Drosophila melanogaster: one gene and its partner. The protein of the gene in region 2 purifies or fractionates together with the protein of the main gene of each other region. This does not show direct contact. Each region holds a gene or a part of one and is shown on either strand. Other genes may lie near its edges.

Region 1 (6,198 bases), on a different chromosome or scaffold from region 2:
GGTATGCTTGAGTTATAACGATATTTACACTGACAAAAAGATGGAAAACATTGGTAACTTAAATTAAATAAATTATTGCTTCAATGTACATTATTATAAATATCAACATTTAATTACAAAGATAAGCCCTTAACCCCTATTGGGCGTCTTAGCTTACGAACAAAGGGGTTTATTAACACTTATTGGGCGCCTGTGGCACAGAACCACCGCTAGGTGGCGCCAGTTAATAGCAGCCTTGAAAACGCAAATCAAAGACAAACAAAAAAAAGGGGGCAGCGCCAAAGCCACCCACACACATACAGCTGCAGCCAGCCAAACTTGCACACACAGAAACGAGCAAGAGTAACACACATACACACGCACGCACCGAGATTAACACACGTAAACAAAGCAAATGACGTTTGGTTTCGATTTTTGGAGTCAACTGTACCATCGCCACCTATCCCGCCCGCTCGTACACACTATTCCCGTCTCGCTTTCGCAGAAAATACAATTCGTTGGTGTTGGGTTTTTTTGGTTTCTTCTATAGAAAAAACCGTTTATTTTTTATTTTCTTTTTTTTTTTTGCTGATGTTTCCAGTTATTTTTGCTGTTGCTGTCACTGATTTGTTGTTGTAAATTGTTTTTGTGTTTTGTGGGGGATTCGTTTTTTGTTTTCTGTTTTCATATTGGTTCTTGTAAGCTACGACGATACGAATAGACACATATTTAGTCCGATTTGTTTAAATGTTCAATGTGAAACTAGTTATCGACACCAATTTACAGCTATATGTATATTTATATATATATATATGCATGTTTTATGGGCGTTTACAATTGATTATTTTGCATGTGTTTCAAACTACATATAAATATTGGGAAATATTCAATGCTCTGCTCGGCGCTTTTGCTTTTATTTTGTATTGTTATGTGATTTCTGTCTTGGTTATTTTTATTCGATGCTCTTCCAAATCTATAGATGTGTAAGTTAATCTGATTGCTGAATCATCTTTATATCTTTTTTTCATCTCCCGAAGAAGAATCATCTTCTATCGTCCGCCTAAACGTATAAAATGCATGTAAATCTAAAATCTTATTTAATCAACTAACTCTGTCACGCCCATCCCTTCGTTATGTGTATATATATATATATAACTTCTATATATATATATATATAATGCTCTGATTATGATTTGCAGTAACGAAAAGTGAACAGAAGAAAGAGTATTAATATCTAGTTCTTTTCCTTCCGCATAGGTTTATATTTATATTTATATATATATATATATTTATATATATATGTATTTATGTATATATATGCATATACGTAAGTGTAAAGTTAAGTGTACTCGATTCGGTCTTCGGTGTTATATATGGATATTATCTTCATAAAAGCCGCGTGCCGTCAGTGGCATCGCCAGACGGCCATGCCCTCGCCGCCCATCCAGAGATCCGGGAATCACCGCCAGGCGGTCCGCAACCGTCTGTCCGCCTTGCCACGTCCAGCCGACGTTAGATTGGCCCCGATCTCCAGGCTCCGCACATCCCGGCAGCCAGATGGTGAACCTCTCCTCGATCGAAGCGATAAAGGCGAGGCAGGCGCCTTAAAGATCACGGATTACCTGGAAACCGAAGCCCGCCAGCTGGACAGTTGTTGGAGTGGTTGGTGGCGGATGTTGCAGGCGGACAGGCGACAACGGCCGCCCGGTGGTATTCCCTCCTTCCAAAACGAAGAGGTGGACCCGGATTTGGAGAAGAAGGAGCACGGCGCAACGTACACGGTGACACCGACGACGCACAGGCGAGAAAAAAAACTTAAAAACTAATTGATAATAGTAATAATAAGAGTTATAAAATAATTTTTAAGCATTACAGTAATGTTGTGTGTTGTTTTGTGTGTGGTGTTTTTCTTATCGACAACGTCATGCTGACGATTCGATTGAACAACAAAAGGATGATAAATGTATACATGTAAATATGAATGATAGATTGGATCAATGTGTCGCTGGTATAGCTCCTTGGCGTGCACCTCTCCTACAACGGTACGTGAATGGTCTACTGTTCGGGAATGGACGACAGTGATCGAATCTGGCGTTCCTGCTGATCCACCTTAAGCACGCTCGCCACGGATGCGGCGCGCCAACTGGATGTCCTTAGGCATGATTGTCACGCGCTTGGCGTGGATAGCGCACAAGTTGGTGTCCTCGAAGAGACCCACCAGGTACGCCTCAGATGCTTCCTGTAAGTCAAGAGAAATTCATATGAGTTGGATAACCAAGTTCCTTTTAGATATTAGTAGCCCCCCCTTCATAATCCCATGAATCCTGTCATTTTTAGTTAAGTTAAGCCACTCTGATTCTTTGGAGCATAATTCTCACCTGCAAGGCACCGATGGCAGCCGACTGGAAACGCAGATCGGTCTTGAAATCCTGAGCGATTTCACGAACCAGACGCTGGAAGGGCAGCTTGCGGATGAGCAACTCGGTCGACTTCTGGTAACGACGGATCTCACGAAGAGCCACAGTTCCGGGACGATAACGATGGGGCTTCTTCACTCCGCCGGTGGATGGCGCCGATTTACGGGCAGCCTTGGTGGCTAGCTGCTTACGAGGAGCCTTTCCTCCGGTCGACTTACGGGCAGTCTGCTTAGTACGAGCCATGTTTTCTTAGCTTTTTTTTTTAAACTGCAATTAAGAGAATGGGAAATGCAAATGTTAGATTTTGCGCGTTCCAGATTGACACAGATTAAATAAACACTTCTACAATCATTGTTTGGTTGGTACCCAAAATAAACACGCTGATCCTCGCCAGATGAGAAAGACAACTCGATGAACTGGGCACAAACTCTAAACTATTCGTCCAGCACAGGCGCAGTGCACGATGCAATTGGCCAGGATACGATTGTGCTGTGTCGTGGACTCTTGACGGATATACACGGATGGATATCGCTGGGAGCCAAAGTTTGGACCGATGCACAGCGCCGAAGCGCTGGCGGCCAACTGACGAGGAACTTTGGTTCGTGGTCATAACGATAACGAGGGTTGAAGGTGAAATTTTTTTGAGGCAGCTGCCTGCTTTTCCTTCTTGCCCCCCATTTCAAATATTTTCCCATCTTCTGGGAACGAGGCACTCGAGAAACTTCCACTTCAGTGGCAAAGGAATAAATCGTGCCTCGGCAGCAAAACACTCAGAAAAATAATAGTGTGATCCATATTTATATTGGTGTGCAAATGAAGCTTAGCTAAGATGATTCTAAAGTTTTCACATTACTTATAATTAAAAAAACTTAAGAAACATTTCTGATAATTCATAAAGGTGGTCCATAAAAAAACCCTAATTTATCCGTTCTAAATAGCAATAGGAATACCATCTAATTCTCAATTGGTGGTATAGATATATTACATCTGCTTTTCTCGCTGTGTAGTTGTTCCACGATGGAGGACCACTTGAAAATCTCATTTCTTTTCTTCGCGGGCAAACATCGTGAGTCGCCGTTTTTTGTGTTCCCCTTCTTTTTATGTACAGCCTCTTGAGTTTTTTTCGCGCTTTATGCGGAATCAATCACGCTGAAGTAATGAGTTGTAGTTTTCAATTTATAATTACTTGTGCAGGCAAGAGGAAAATATCAAATAAAAGGAAGCCAAAGAAAACGAAAAAAATTCTTCGACTGGTAGCGCCAAAAGAGTAAACATAAACAAAAGGAAGGAAAATCAAGCGGTAAAAACTTGGCGCGCATTGAAAGGCGGCAAGTCGAAGGGAGATGCCTATAGGGGCACGTTCGCGTTAGAAAGAGAAGAAAGGTGTGCCAGCAGTTAATTGCGTCGTTTCTCCGCTAAACAGCATGTGTGTGCGTGTAGATGTGACAGCTGCACATCCTCACAAAAGAGAATGCCAAAGGAAAAAGAAAATAAAAAGCAATTATGCAATAACATACGGGAAAAGCTGGCGGTGGGAAAGAGAGATGGCACACACTGCGCATGACAAGCGCAGCCATGCACATTTGCATTTGTTAACCAATGTGCGTGTTTAGTATACACACACATCAACGCGCGTGCCACTTAAGAAATAAATAAATAACTTTTATATGTTTATGCCAACCAGCATAAATACGATTACTCATACTTTTTGGCGCCAGTTTTCGCACATTGGCAAATCGTTTTTATTTATTTTTTTAATTTTCTTTTTGCCAATTTCATCAACGACTGCAACTTTTTTATTTCTTGCTATTCTCCTGCTTGGCGGCCATTTTGGAAAAAAAAAAAAAGCAGCGCACCTCACCATTACAACTAAAACAACAATGCAACCAACAGTCGTGCGAATACGAGACCTCTCACATCTTCGTGTATTTGTGTATGTATCCACCAGCGAGAATGCGCCTGTGTGTGTGCGGTGAAAAATAGGGCTCCGCTGGACGGCCGGCGGAGCCCCAAAAACGGCAAAACATAAACTCAGGCGATTCACAACGAAAAAAAAATTTGGAAAACAGTGCACACACGCACATATTCAGCGGCCACAAGCACGTGCGTTTTAAGAACCACACTTAGTATTATAAGTATTTAGCAATAAAAAAAAACTCACCGTTAAACACGGAATAAAGTTATTCTTCACAATTTGTCACTTTCAACACGAGACGAACAAATTCGGACGAGAGAAATTTTCACAATGATTTCGTTTCGTTGAGATCTAGAGATGGTAGCCTAGTAGGCGAAGGCCTACTTCGATTGTATTCGATTACACTCGATTGTCTGACAAGACCATGCCCGCCAAATAGTTTGGTTCTGTTCTTTGCTAATTACATTTTTATAACTTTTTAAAATTTTTTTAACTCCAACCTAAGATTAAAAATGAATATGTTTTAATGGGTTGGACTCTGCTAATTTTAATGAAATATAAGCTTCATTAAGCAAAAAAAAAGCCAAGTTCTTTTATGGATTGTGGGTTTCTCTCTGCAGAGAACTTTATTTTAGTGCATTGTGTGTTACATTTGAGTTGAACGAACGTGCATACTACTGCGACTTCTTGTCCTCCTTGGCGGCCCTGCCCACGGGCTCATCCTTGAAGTGAAGGAACACGAATGAGAAGACAAACACGCCGATCATCATTGAGAAGGCGCTGGTGTAGTAGGGGAATGCGCTCGGGATAAAGCGCTCGTACTGTGTGTGCTCCAGCGGACGCACCGACACCTGGGTGGTGCTGTACAGATGCGTGTAGCCCACGCGATTGTAGTCCACCTTGAACTGATAAACGCCGTAGACGTCGGGTATCTTGAATTTGGCCTGGTAGGCGCCCGTGTTCGTTTGCTTCAGATAGGTGCGGACGAAGGGATCGATGCGCACGAACTCCAGTTGAATGTCGCTGGCCTTAAAGGCGCGCCACTCGCCCTGCACCAGCTCCTCGATGCCGATGGTGTAGACGACCGGATCGGTGATGGTGTACGCCTGATCCGGTGGCAGCAGCTCGCCCTCCTTGTGATGTTGCACGGATGCCACGCGCAAGCGGCCAGTCTCTCCAAATACCCACTTGCTAATGGACTCGGCCACGTCGCGATTACCGGCCAGCTTGTGGAACACACCGCTCTGTGCGTACTGCACGGCCGTTGTGAAGCTCTCGTCAGAGAAGAAGAGCAGCGAGCCGGAGAACACTACGCGGGCATTGTTCCTCGCCTGCAGGGCGGCGATTAGCAGCGTGCCTCGGCCAACGGCATGCGGATAGTCGGAGACACTTGCCTCGGGATTGTAGCTATAGGCGGTGCTCTCGGCGGTCAGCAGCTTGAGTACCAGCGGGTTCTCCTTGTCGGCAATCAGTCCTGTACCGCGATAGAGCAGCGGTGCGGCATCCGCCTGCCTGTTGGCCTTGCCCACAATGGTGTCGGCCTGTATAAGATTCTTGGCGGAGGTCAGGATGGTTGTGTGCTCGCCAGCATCGCTAACATCGTAGTGCAGATGGTCAATGACCGCCGCATTCTCCTCGTCCAGCTCGAAGCCGCACTCGGAGGCGAATTCCCTTAGCGCGTCGCCGGATTTCTCGCTGCCCGCCACCAGAACATTGCCGCCATCGTCGACGAACTGGGCCAAACGCTCCACGCTCACATCGCCGCCGAATTCCTCGACACTTGGTGCGAATATGATGACGTTCTTGTACAGATATTCACCGTATTTGGACAGCAGCAGGCTGGAGTCATCCGCCAGTTTGTAGGTGAGCTTAAATCCGCGATCTGTA
Region 2 (9,172 bases):
AGGTAAGGTATCTCAACAGTTTTGTAGATCCGAATGTGAGGGCATCCATATCCTCCGTGGCGGTGGCATAAACCTTTCCAGCTTTCACCAGAGCGGCACACTGGGCCTCCGCTTCGCACGGTGCATCAACATAGGGCACACCCATTAGTGTGAGCAGTTCCTTGGCCTCTTTGGCGTGCTCCTTCGTTACCCGGACCAATCGGCGATTAAACTTTTCGATACCGGCATCATCTCCCGCATCGGTGGCCGCCTTCAGTGCCTTCTCCGCTTCCTCCCGCCGCTCGGCGCGCTTCGCCAGCTCACCGGACTTGAGATCTGGTGGCTTTCCGTCGAAGACATATACCGGCTTGATTCCGTTGTCCAGCAATCGGATGGTGCGGTAGAACATGCCCATTAAGTGGGACGTGGGATCACCATTTACGGTGGCCAACTGGGCGCCTTCGGAGCGCACGGCGATGAGGAACTGGTACAGGCACATACTAGCATCGATTGCTACCTTGCGACCTTTGAAATGTGAGCATACTATTAAAGTTTTGTTTATATTTAGCAAATAGAACCGGACTCACCGAAAAAATGCTTCATCTCACTTTCGCGAATCGCCTGTGGCGCCAGATCGGCAATGAGCTTAGATAAGCCCAAAATTCCCATGGCGATTTTATTTTAACTTAACACTTGTAATTAATTAAATATATGATTATATTAAGTATAGCCAGGGGTTTATCAAATTGTTTTGTTTGTGAAAACACGCCGCGCGCTTTTTTGCCAACAAGAGTGACCGCCTTTTCAATACATAAATACCAGAACGTCAAAAAATTTTTTATTCGCTAAATTGTTAGTTTTTACATATTTATTTCATTTTCTTTCGAATATTTTTATGAACGTATATAAATATTAACATTTAGATCAGCGTGACTGATGAATTAAAATATGACTACCGGTCTGCAAAATATTCCAAAATTAGATGGTTTTGGTTAACAAATCATTTAAAAAGCAAGTGTCTCCTTCAAATATGTTTTTTATGCATATATATATATAATTTAGTCCGATTCATTAAAAAGCAAAATATTTCAGAAATATATAGGACTGGTTAATACCAGTCATTTTGTTTAAAAAGAAAGTATTTCTTTCGACTATTATAATATACGTATATAAATATTTTTTTATTTAGATCAGTGTTACTAATACATTAGAATAATATTATCGTTAATCAAAATATACCAGAATTAAATAGTTTTCTTTTGAATATTTTTATTGGGGTATATAAATATTGTATTCAGATCAGACTAACATATGAATTATAATATAATTACAGGTAAGCAATGTGGTTAGCTTAGGATAATAGCGATAGAGTTGACTGGACACTATCAAGAAAGAATTTAAATGCATTTTAAAATAAAGAATCATAAAATGGTATTAACAACTGAACATGTATACCAACTTAATTCCCTTGTAAAAAGCCCGCCAAAAGTGAGCAACGAAAAGGGCACCCATTATTTTGCCGGGTATTTTTTAGTGCTTGTCGGCTGCAATACTATCGATTGTGACACCTCTTCTAGTGAGCAGATTGAATGTGTGTCGGCTGACGGAAAAACAGAAAAGCCATTAGAAATATGGTATGTAAAAAGGTGAAAAATGTGGGAAAAAGCGCCGGAAAGTGTGTGCCAGCGAGGTGAAATGAAAACGGCGGGATTGCTAACGTATTTTGTGTGTAAATAGAGCGCAACAAATTATCCGCGAGGCTAACTGCCCGACTATCGGTTCTCTCCCGCCGTTCGGTTGTGTGTATAAACATGGCGTCGTTGTGGCTCGAGATGCCGATGCGAGTGGGTGCGAGCGGGATGACTAGTGTGTGTGTGTGCGCCTCATAGATTTGCAATGTTGTTTTTTCTATCGCCTCTCTCATTTCTTGCTCCCTCTCTCACTCGCTTGCTCGCTCGGCGAAGAAGACACGCATACACAAACTCGCAATCGCCGAAGACCTAACTCACACTCAAATTGCGATTCGATTAAAAAAGAAATAGGCGCACCGAAACCCATCGTATTGGCCGCCAAAAAATTAGCAAGTGTAATCCAATTCTGACTTTGTATCTTTCCATGCCATCGCCGCACGAAAAGGATGCTAACAAAGCGGCAGAAACGGCAGCCAAAGAAAATGCCGCCGATAAGGTAAGCGATGTGGAAAATGCATCGGTTACTGCGGGGGTGGCGAAAGCCGTGGGGGCACAGCCGGAAAGGGGCTCCAAAGATGCAGCCGAATCCCCCGCCGCTGTCGACGCCTCTGCCTCTGCCGCCACTGATGACGTCGCTGATAAAAAAGCCAAAGGAGACTCAACGGCTGTTTCAAATACCGAATCGGATGCAGGTAAATAAAAAATTAAAAGGCAAAGCCAGGCGAACACACAATCTAACTAACTGTGTGTGTGAAGAACGAGAGAGAAAAACAAAAATCAAAGTGAATTTACCGCGCATTTTAAAAAACGCGCCGAACTATTTCGCTCTCTCTTCGGGAAAGTTCTTTTCCTCTCTCGTCCTCTTGTTCGCTTTGGTCTACTTATTGGGAGAGTTCCGATGTGGCGCTGCGGTCTAAAGCGTCGCTCCTTGTGTCTCTCTTGTTTACCGCGCTATGCTGATGTTGGCATGTGGTTCGATCCCCCTCCGTGTCGATGTTTACAAAACCATTATTAGAGTTTGATGATTGAGTTCTCTTAACTTTCCTTCCTCCTTCCTTCCTTGGCTTTTGTTCATGCTAAATCCTTTAAATGGGTTCTGCGTAGTTTAATGCCGAGGTACAGCAAAACTTCAATATTCATGTTCCCTTGCGCTCCCAAACGAAATTAGCATTGGACGTCCCAAGGTTGAAGACATTTTATTATTTTAACATCTTTTTTATTTTATTACATTTGAACTCTTACAAATAATAATAATTACAATTAATATTATAGCTGCAGCGGACAAAAAGGAGAAATCCCCCTCGCCGGTAATAAAGAAGTCCAACAATAAGGATGCTAAAAAGGAGGACAACTCCGAAAAGGACGAGGAGAACTCGGAAGACGGCGATGAGCCAGAAGATGAGGCTGATGAGAAAGCTAGCGATGAAGAGAGCGAGAAGAAGAAACCGAAATTAGATGCAGAGGACAAGATAAAGGATGCCACTGATGAGTCCAAGCCAAAATCGGGAGCCGATAAGCCCAAGAAACCTGAGCCCAAGGCCAAGAATGGCAAGGTGGCTAAGGAGGAGGACGACGACGAAGAGGACGAGGATGATGAGGATGCCGAAGATGACGATGGAGACGAGAACGATGGCCTGGACAAGAACAACGAGGTGGCCGAGGATGATGAGAATGTCGTCGCTCTCGCCGAGATTGATCGCATTAATGAGAATATCAACAAGACTCGTGTAGATGGTCTGCAAACATTGCATGCAGTAAGTTAGCTGAGAAACATTTTTGCCAACAACTTGTCAAAAACTAATTTCACACCTCATTTATAGATCTGCTTTGGCGCCCAAGGCAAGAACAATGTGGTCAAGAAGAACTTGCGATCCTTTGCCGGTTTCGAGTTTGCCAAGGATTCAGCGGAGTACAACAAAAAGCTGGAGGCCATCAAAAAGGTGGATAATAAGGGCCTGCGCAGCATCTGCGAGATCCTTACCCTCGATCGCAAGGGCAGCAAGAACGAGACTGTCCTTCGAGTGCTCAAATTCCTAATGGAACCGGACGAGTCGCTTTGCTTGGAGCAGGGTGATGAGGAGGAGGAGGAAGATGCCGAGGACGAGGATCTGGATGAAGATGAGGAGGACCCGCCCAGTGAAGAGGACAAGAAGCGCAAGAGCGGAAAGTCTAGCGGCGGCGCTGGCAGAGGCTCTGCACGCAATTCCACCGGACGTCCAAGGCGCGCGACGGCAGGAAAGAGTATGCTCATCTAAATCAAAAGTATTGTATATATCTAAACATGTTTACGTTTTAAATTTCAGAAATGTCCGCCTATGTAGATTTCTCCAGCTCTGACGATAGCGAGCAGAAAGTTGCAGTTCCCAAAAGGAGACGAAATGATGACTCCGAGTCGGGCTCAGATGTAAGTATCCTTCGCCCAGAAACCATGCGCACAATTTGGCTCATTTGTCGTTTTGCTTATAGTACAATCCTTCTGCCAATTCCGACTCTGACGGTGGTCGTGGTGGTGGTGCTGGTGCAGCAGGTCGCAAAGTCCCAAGCCGCGGTGGACGCGGTCGTCCTGCGCGCAAAAGTCGCAGAAGAAACTCTGATTCCGAGGAAGAAGAGGAATCGGAAGTTTCCGATGCCGATAGTGATGTATGTATTATAAACGTATGACCAAGTGACCTATATAAAAAAAAATAACTAAATCCCCAGGTCCCAAAACGTAAACGTGGTTCCGTGGGTAAACGTGGACGACCGGCAGCTCCTGCGTCAGCTGGACGAAGGGGTAGAGGACGAGGTGCAGCTTCCCGCAAGCGTAAAGATTCAGATAGCGAAGATGAGGAGGTATCCGAGGATGAAGAGGAGGAGGATGTCTCCGATTTTGCCAGCGATCAAAGCGAAGTATGTAAATTTAATTTAATATCGAGCATTTGGTGTTTTATCAAGTATATGCCAATTTTTCAGGAGGAACGTCCCAAAAAGAGCAAGAAGCCCATTACGCCTGCGAAAAATAGCAAAGCTAACAACAAGTCAAAACCAGCTGGAAAGGGTATGTTAAAAGTAATATGAAAACCGTATGAAATAACAATTAATGTAATCCGCAGCCGATAGTCGATCGAAAAAATCAAAGAAGGAATCGTCCGAGGAAGATGATGATGTCGATGACAAAGATGAATCCGACGAGGATGAGCCACTAACCAAAAAGGGCAAACAGGCATTCCCAACGGTTGGTAGCCAGTAATCGCAATCGTAATGTGTTATCCTCATCGAACGTCTATTTGCAGGATGAACAAATACGCGGATATGTCAAAGAGATTCTGGATAAAGCCAATCTTGAGGAGATTACGATGAAAACCGTGTGCAAACAAGTTTATGCAAAATATCCAGACTTTGACCTAACAGACAAGAAAGACTTCATCAAGGCGACAGTGAAAGCGGTAAGTTACAAGCATATTTATAATTTCTGTTTTACTGAAACTCAATTTATTTCCCAATTCTTAGTTAATTGCGACATAAAACGACGCGTTGACAAGTCCACTTTAAAGTCGAAGAAGGGTCCAGGCTCTGTACACATACAACACAAAACAGGCGATAGCAAAGTCAGGACGTTGTACGCCGATGCAGAAAGAAGTTGGGCATGGTTCGCGAAATGTAACTCCAAGTAGTTGTCTCCTATAAGTATATGATTTGTACTCCTATCCTAAAAGCTATCTGCAGTTCACCTTAATCCTAACGTCAGCGGCAGTCGACTATCCATTCTTATATATATTCATCTGTATATATAACTTTTTATTTGTCCAACCGTGCGCACGCATGCACATCATTTTCTATTTTCCTGAAAGTATGTGCAAACGACAGCTCTGCGAAGTGTGTAAATTAAGCAAAGAGAAACTTGTAAAAATCCGATAAAAAAGAAACACCTAAACTGTAGTGCATTTTGATTTGACGTTTAACAAGAAAAGATGTATTTAACCTTAAGGCACAAGAAATAATAAACAAAAAGCAAAATTAAAAATTTGTAAAAGCGTGAAATATTGAAATTTCACACACTGGCAGCAGTACAAAAACAAACGAAAGTGGAAAACCATTTTAAATTTACACGATTACAAAAAGTTTTTGGCTAATGTAATAAAAGAATGCATTATTTGGGCGAGTAATTTTAAGGCACACTTGAGCGGAGCTCCTGATACAAATGTTTAACTGCTGTTCCCAAAATATATCCTTGAAACCCATTTTGATTTTGATGTCTCTATCGCATCCCAACTCCTGCTGTTCACCACAAATGCTCGGGCCCAGTGTGATTGAAGATAGGAAGGTTTCTCGGCTTATTAACTAGAGACAAGCTCACAACAAATTGTGAGTAAAAAATAAACAAACAGAAGATTGAATGTGGAATGAGGAAGGGAATAAAGTTAAATATTATAAATATTAGATATTTACAAGGTAATAATAGATGTATGTTAATTTTAAAAGAGCAAATGAATAGAAAAAACCGAATATTTAAACGTTTAATTGCCAGCAAGAGAAAAGTAAAAGAACAAAATCACAGTCGCATCTCAATGGAAGTTTTCCCGTAGTAAACTCGTAAATGAATATCAAAAACAACACTAATAAAGCTCCACTAAATTAGTTTAGTCCCAGAAATTGGCAACTAAGCTATATACTCTTGTGCATTCTGTTCTGTTTTAATTTCAAATGTTCGCTGAAAAATGCTAAAAGGAATGCAGTGTATCAGTAATAAAGTGCTAAAAATTAAGAGAAACCTTATCGATTTTCTAAATGGGTTGGAATTTCTATAGTGGATAAAAATCCCAGTGGCGGAACAAATCTCTTTTTTCTAAAAAAAAAAATGTTCTTTTTTAAATAGTCCATATTAATTCTGACTTAATTTGAAGGAAAAAAATGCTTTATTTTGGGTTGTAGCATGGGAAAAGTTTATTTCGAATTTAAAAATGTTCAATTGGGACATTTTCTACAATTGAATTTAACAATTATCTAAACGATTTAAGAAAATAATTAAACTAATTTCTGTCGGGGATTTACCGGGTGGTAATTGAAAGCTGTCGAGTGGACAAAACGCTGAAACATACAGATAGTCAGTTATGATTCAGATATAATATATATATTTATATATTGTCAAAAATGGTTAATATATGTTTATAAAAAAACAATGTAAATATCAATTTCGGGACAAAAATACATATATCAATGAGAAGTGTGGATAATACGGGAGAAGGAATCAACTTTTCTCTGAATTGTTCCTGCAAATAGATCAAAGCACGTAATTTAAATGAAACGAATGGAAATGTATGCAGAAATGTAAATTTCAAAAATATCATTTGATTGCAAAATAAACGGCTTGACATTGGACCCAAAAGAAATGCTCAACGAAATGGGTTATTGAACGTTCTACATTTAATATTTGGTTGGGTCATACTTACCTTGGTCGATATAAGATACGCAGGATGATATCCTTGAAAACCTTTGCTAGAATGAAAAAAGAAAATCGACTTCCCAAAAACATTGAAAATTGGGTTCTTCTCTTTCAAACTGCCATATTATTCGAAAAATTTCCTAATTCTAGACCTGAATCGCTCTTATTATACGAAATATATTCAATATATTAAAGTACACAATATGGAATAGTATAAATTAGAGATTGGCTTGGGAGCCAATGTAAACCGCTTATAGAGCAAGCAAATGATACCTTTAAACGATATTTTACAAATATGTATACAGCACAGAATTTATCAATAGGGAGCACTGTTCGGGAAATCAAATATCGTTCGTTTTGCTAGGCAATTATTGAGAAATACGTATATAAATATATGCATATATATAGTCAATTGTCAAGGAATAGTATGTAGTATAAAGAATATTCAGGATAATCAGTTATGGATATAATATATGTGCAGTTTGATATTAAAATTGTACTCCAATGTGGTTCCAAGCATACCCAATAATGTGGCAATCAATCGACCATCCCTGGGAAAAGTCAAAAGCCCGTCCCGATCCCCAAGATCTCTTCCACGAGCAAGAACGACCAGAACCTCTGAAAATACGCTCAATAAACGATTTTCATATGTGGCATAAACAATCAGCTGGATAAATAAATCAAGAGCGATACAGTCGAGCCCCGACTATCTGATACCCGTTACTATTCATTAAAATTTTGTTTTAGGATTGGTTTAGTAACGGGTATAAATGTAATTAATAGAAACGCAATAGGACACACAGCACCGAAATGCTCCGTGCTGGTAATATATGTATGTGAATATATATTATATGGTATATTAAATGTTTATTCAATGCTTTGCCGGCCGGCCGCAGGACGGAGTTCAGGATTTGGATGGTAGTCCCGAACTGATCCCGCGTGGCCGAACAACGGTTACAATATGGTTGATCTGCTGTTGCAACAATCAGATATTTGGGGAGACGTAAAACTTAGATTATATATCGGTATTAAGACTAAATTATGGTAGACCTACATTCATTGGGTAAGTTTCATTGTTTCAATTGCAATATGTTTAATAGACAGTAATAACAACACACAATCTTACCAAGTTTGACACTTTTACAATATATGTATGGTTCGTATTTCATCGTGTTTTTTTTTGTTTTCGTTATTTGTTATAGTGTGAAAAAGTTTTGGGGTTTGATTTCGTATTTCTGCTATTAACTGGTCTGAAGAGCGTCCTCTGAAAATAACATACTTTATGTTTGCATTTGGTGAAATAGATATTAAAACAAGCATGATTATCCTGCGCGTTCGTTTAAAGGTAAATATTGCAAGCGTATTCAAACCAGGTTTATAATTTAAAAAAATATACAATTATAGAGCAGGAAATAATTTTAAACTCAGTTCAGTTTCACCTTAGTGCTACAAAAATGATTTCATAGATTCTCCAGAACTGAAAGATGAAAATATTGTTATGCAAGATGTTAAATATCAATTAAGGAAGATAACCTTTTGTACCTGGCCCTCACTTGAATCAAATTTAATAAAAAGGTTCGATCAAATCTTTTAAATCTTACCAGATCAGCAGACATATGTATATATGATCAAGTGTAAATGTCGATCATATATAGTTCAAATGGCTTCTAGTACAACTAAGCTAAGCTAAGTACGTGAAAATGAGTTCGTGTATATAAAACGTTCGATTTGTTTATTGCTACCATTAAAGTTGAGAATTTTAACAAAGGGTGTCTTTAATTACTGAACGCCCATTGCAGATTGGCTGCCTGAATTGACGGTGAAAGAACCTATATATGCGATGTATATATATATATATATATATATGACTATATATATGCAGATGTGTATAAAAATGAACAAAACACCCAAAACGGATTCAATTAGCGTCTCTTAGTATGTCTGTGCAAGTGGTGATCATGAACAGCAAGAGCATTATGTTTCAATCGGTCGGAATTATGTATAATTATTAGGTAAAAGTAGACTTAGGATCTCGGGATAATCTCTTACAAGCTATGGTGAAATTATATGCAGTATCCAA

Evidence for each region.
Region 1: the proteins of Dek (region 2) and His3.3B purify together in Drosophila melanogaster (affinity purification with western blotting, with the first as the bait; one study listed by BioGRID). This does not show direct contact.

Annotation. Positions count from the first base shown.
Region 1 is NC_004354.4:9,152,023-9,158,220, forward strand, and holds His3.3B (histone H3.3B), read right to left. Parts: upstream 4,648-6,198; 5' UTR 4,558-4,647; intron 3,592-4,557; exon of another isoform or gene 3,382-3,591; intron 2,991-3,381; exon of another isoform or gene 2,763-2,990; intron 2,664-2,762; 5' UTR 2,640-2,663; coding exon 2,358-2,639; intron 2,219-2,357; coding exon 2,090-2,218; 3' UTR 501-2,089; downstream 1-500. Other genes in the region: Ost48 (oligosaccharyltransferase 48kD subunit), read right to left, coding at 4,986-6,193.
Region 2 is NT_033778.4:16,854,691-16,863,862, forward strand, and holds Dek (Dek), read left to right. Parts: upstream 1-1,951; 5' UTR 1,952-2,094; coding exon 2,095-2,362; intron 2,363-2,722; exon of another isoform or gene 2,723-2,888; intron 2,889-2,942; coding exon 2,943-3,424; intron 3,425-3,490; coding exon 3,491-3,911; intron 3,912-3,973; coding exon 3,974-4,074; intron 4,075-4,136; coding exon 4,137-4,310; intron 4,311-4,370; coding exon 4,371-4,559; intron 4,560-4,622; coding exon 4,623-4,707; intron 4,708-4,762; coding exon 4,763-4,884; coding exon of another isoform or gene 4,885-4,899; intron 4,900-4,942; coding exon 4,943-5,095; intron 5,096-5,159; coding exon 5,160-5,174; 3' UTR 5,175-5,580; downstream 5,581-9,172. Other genes in the region: Fen1 (flap endonuclease 1), read right to left, coding at 1-504, 567-648.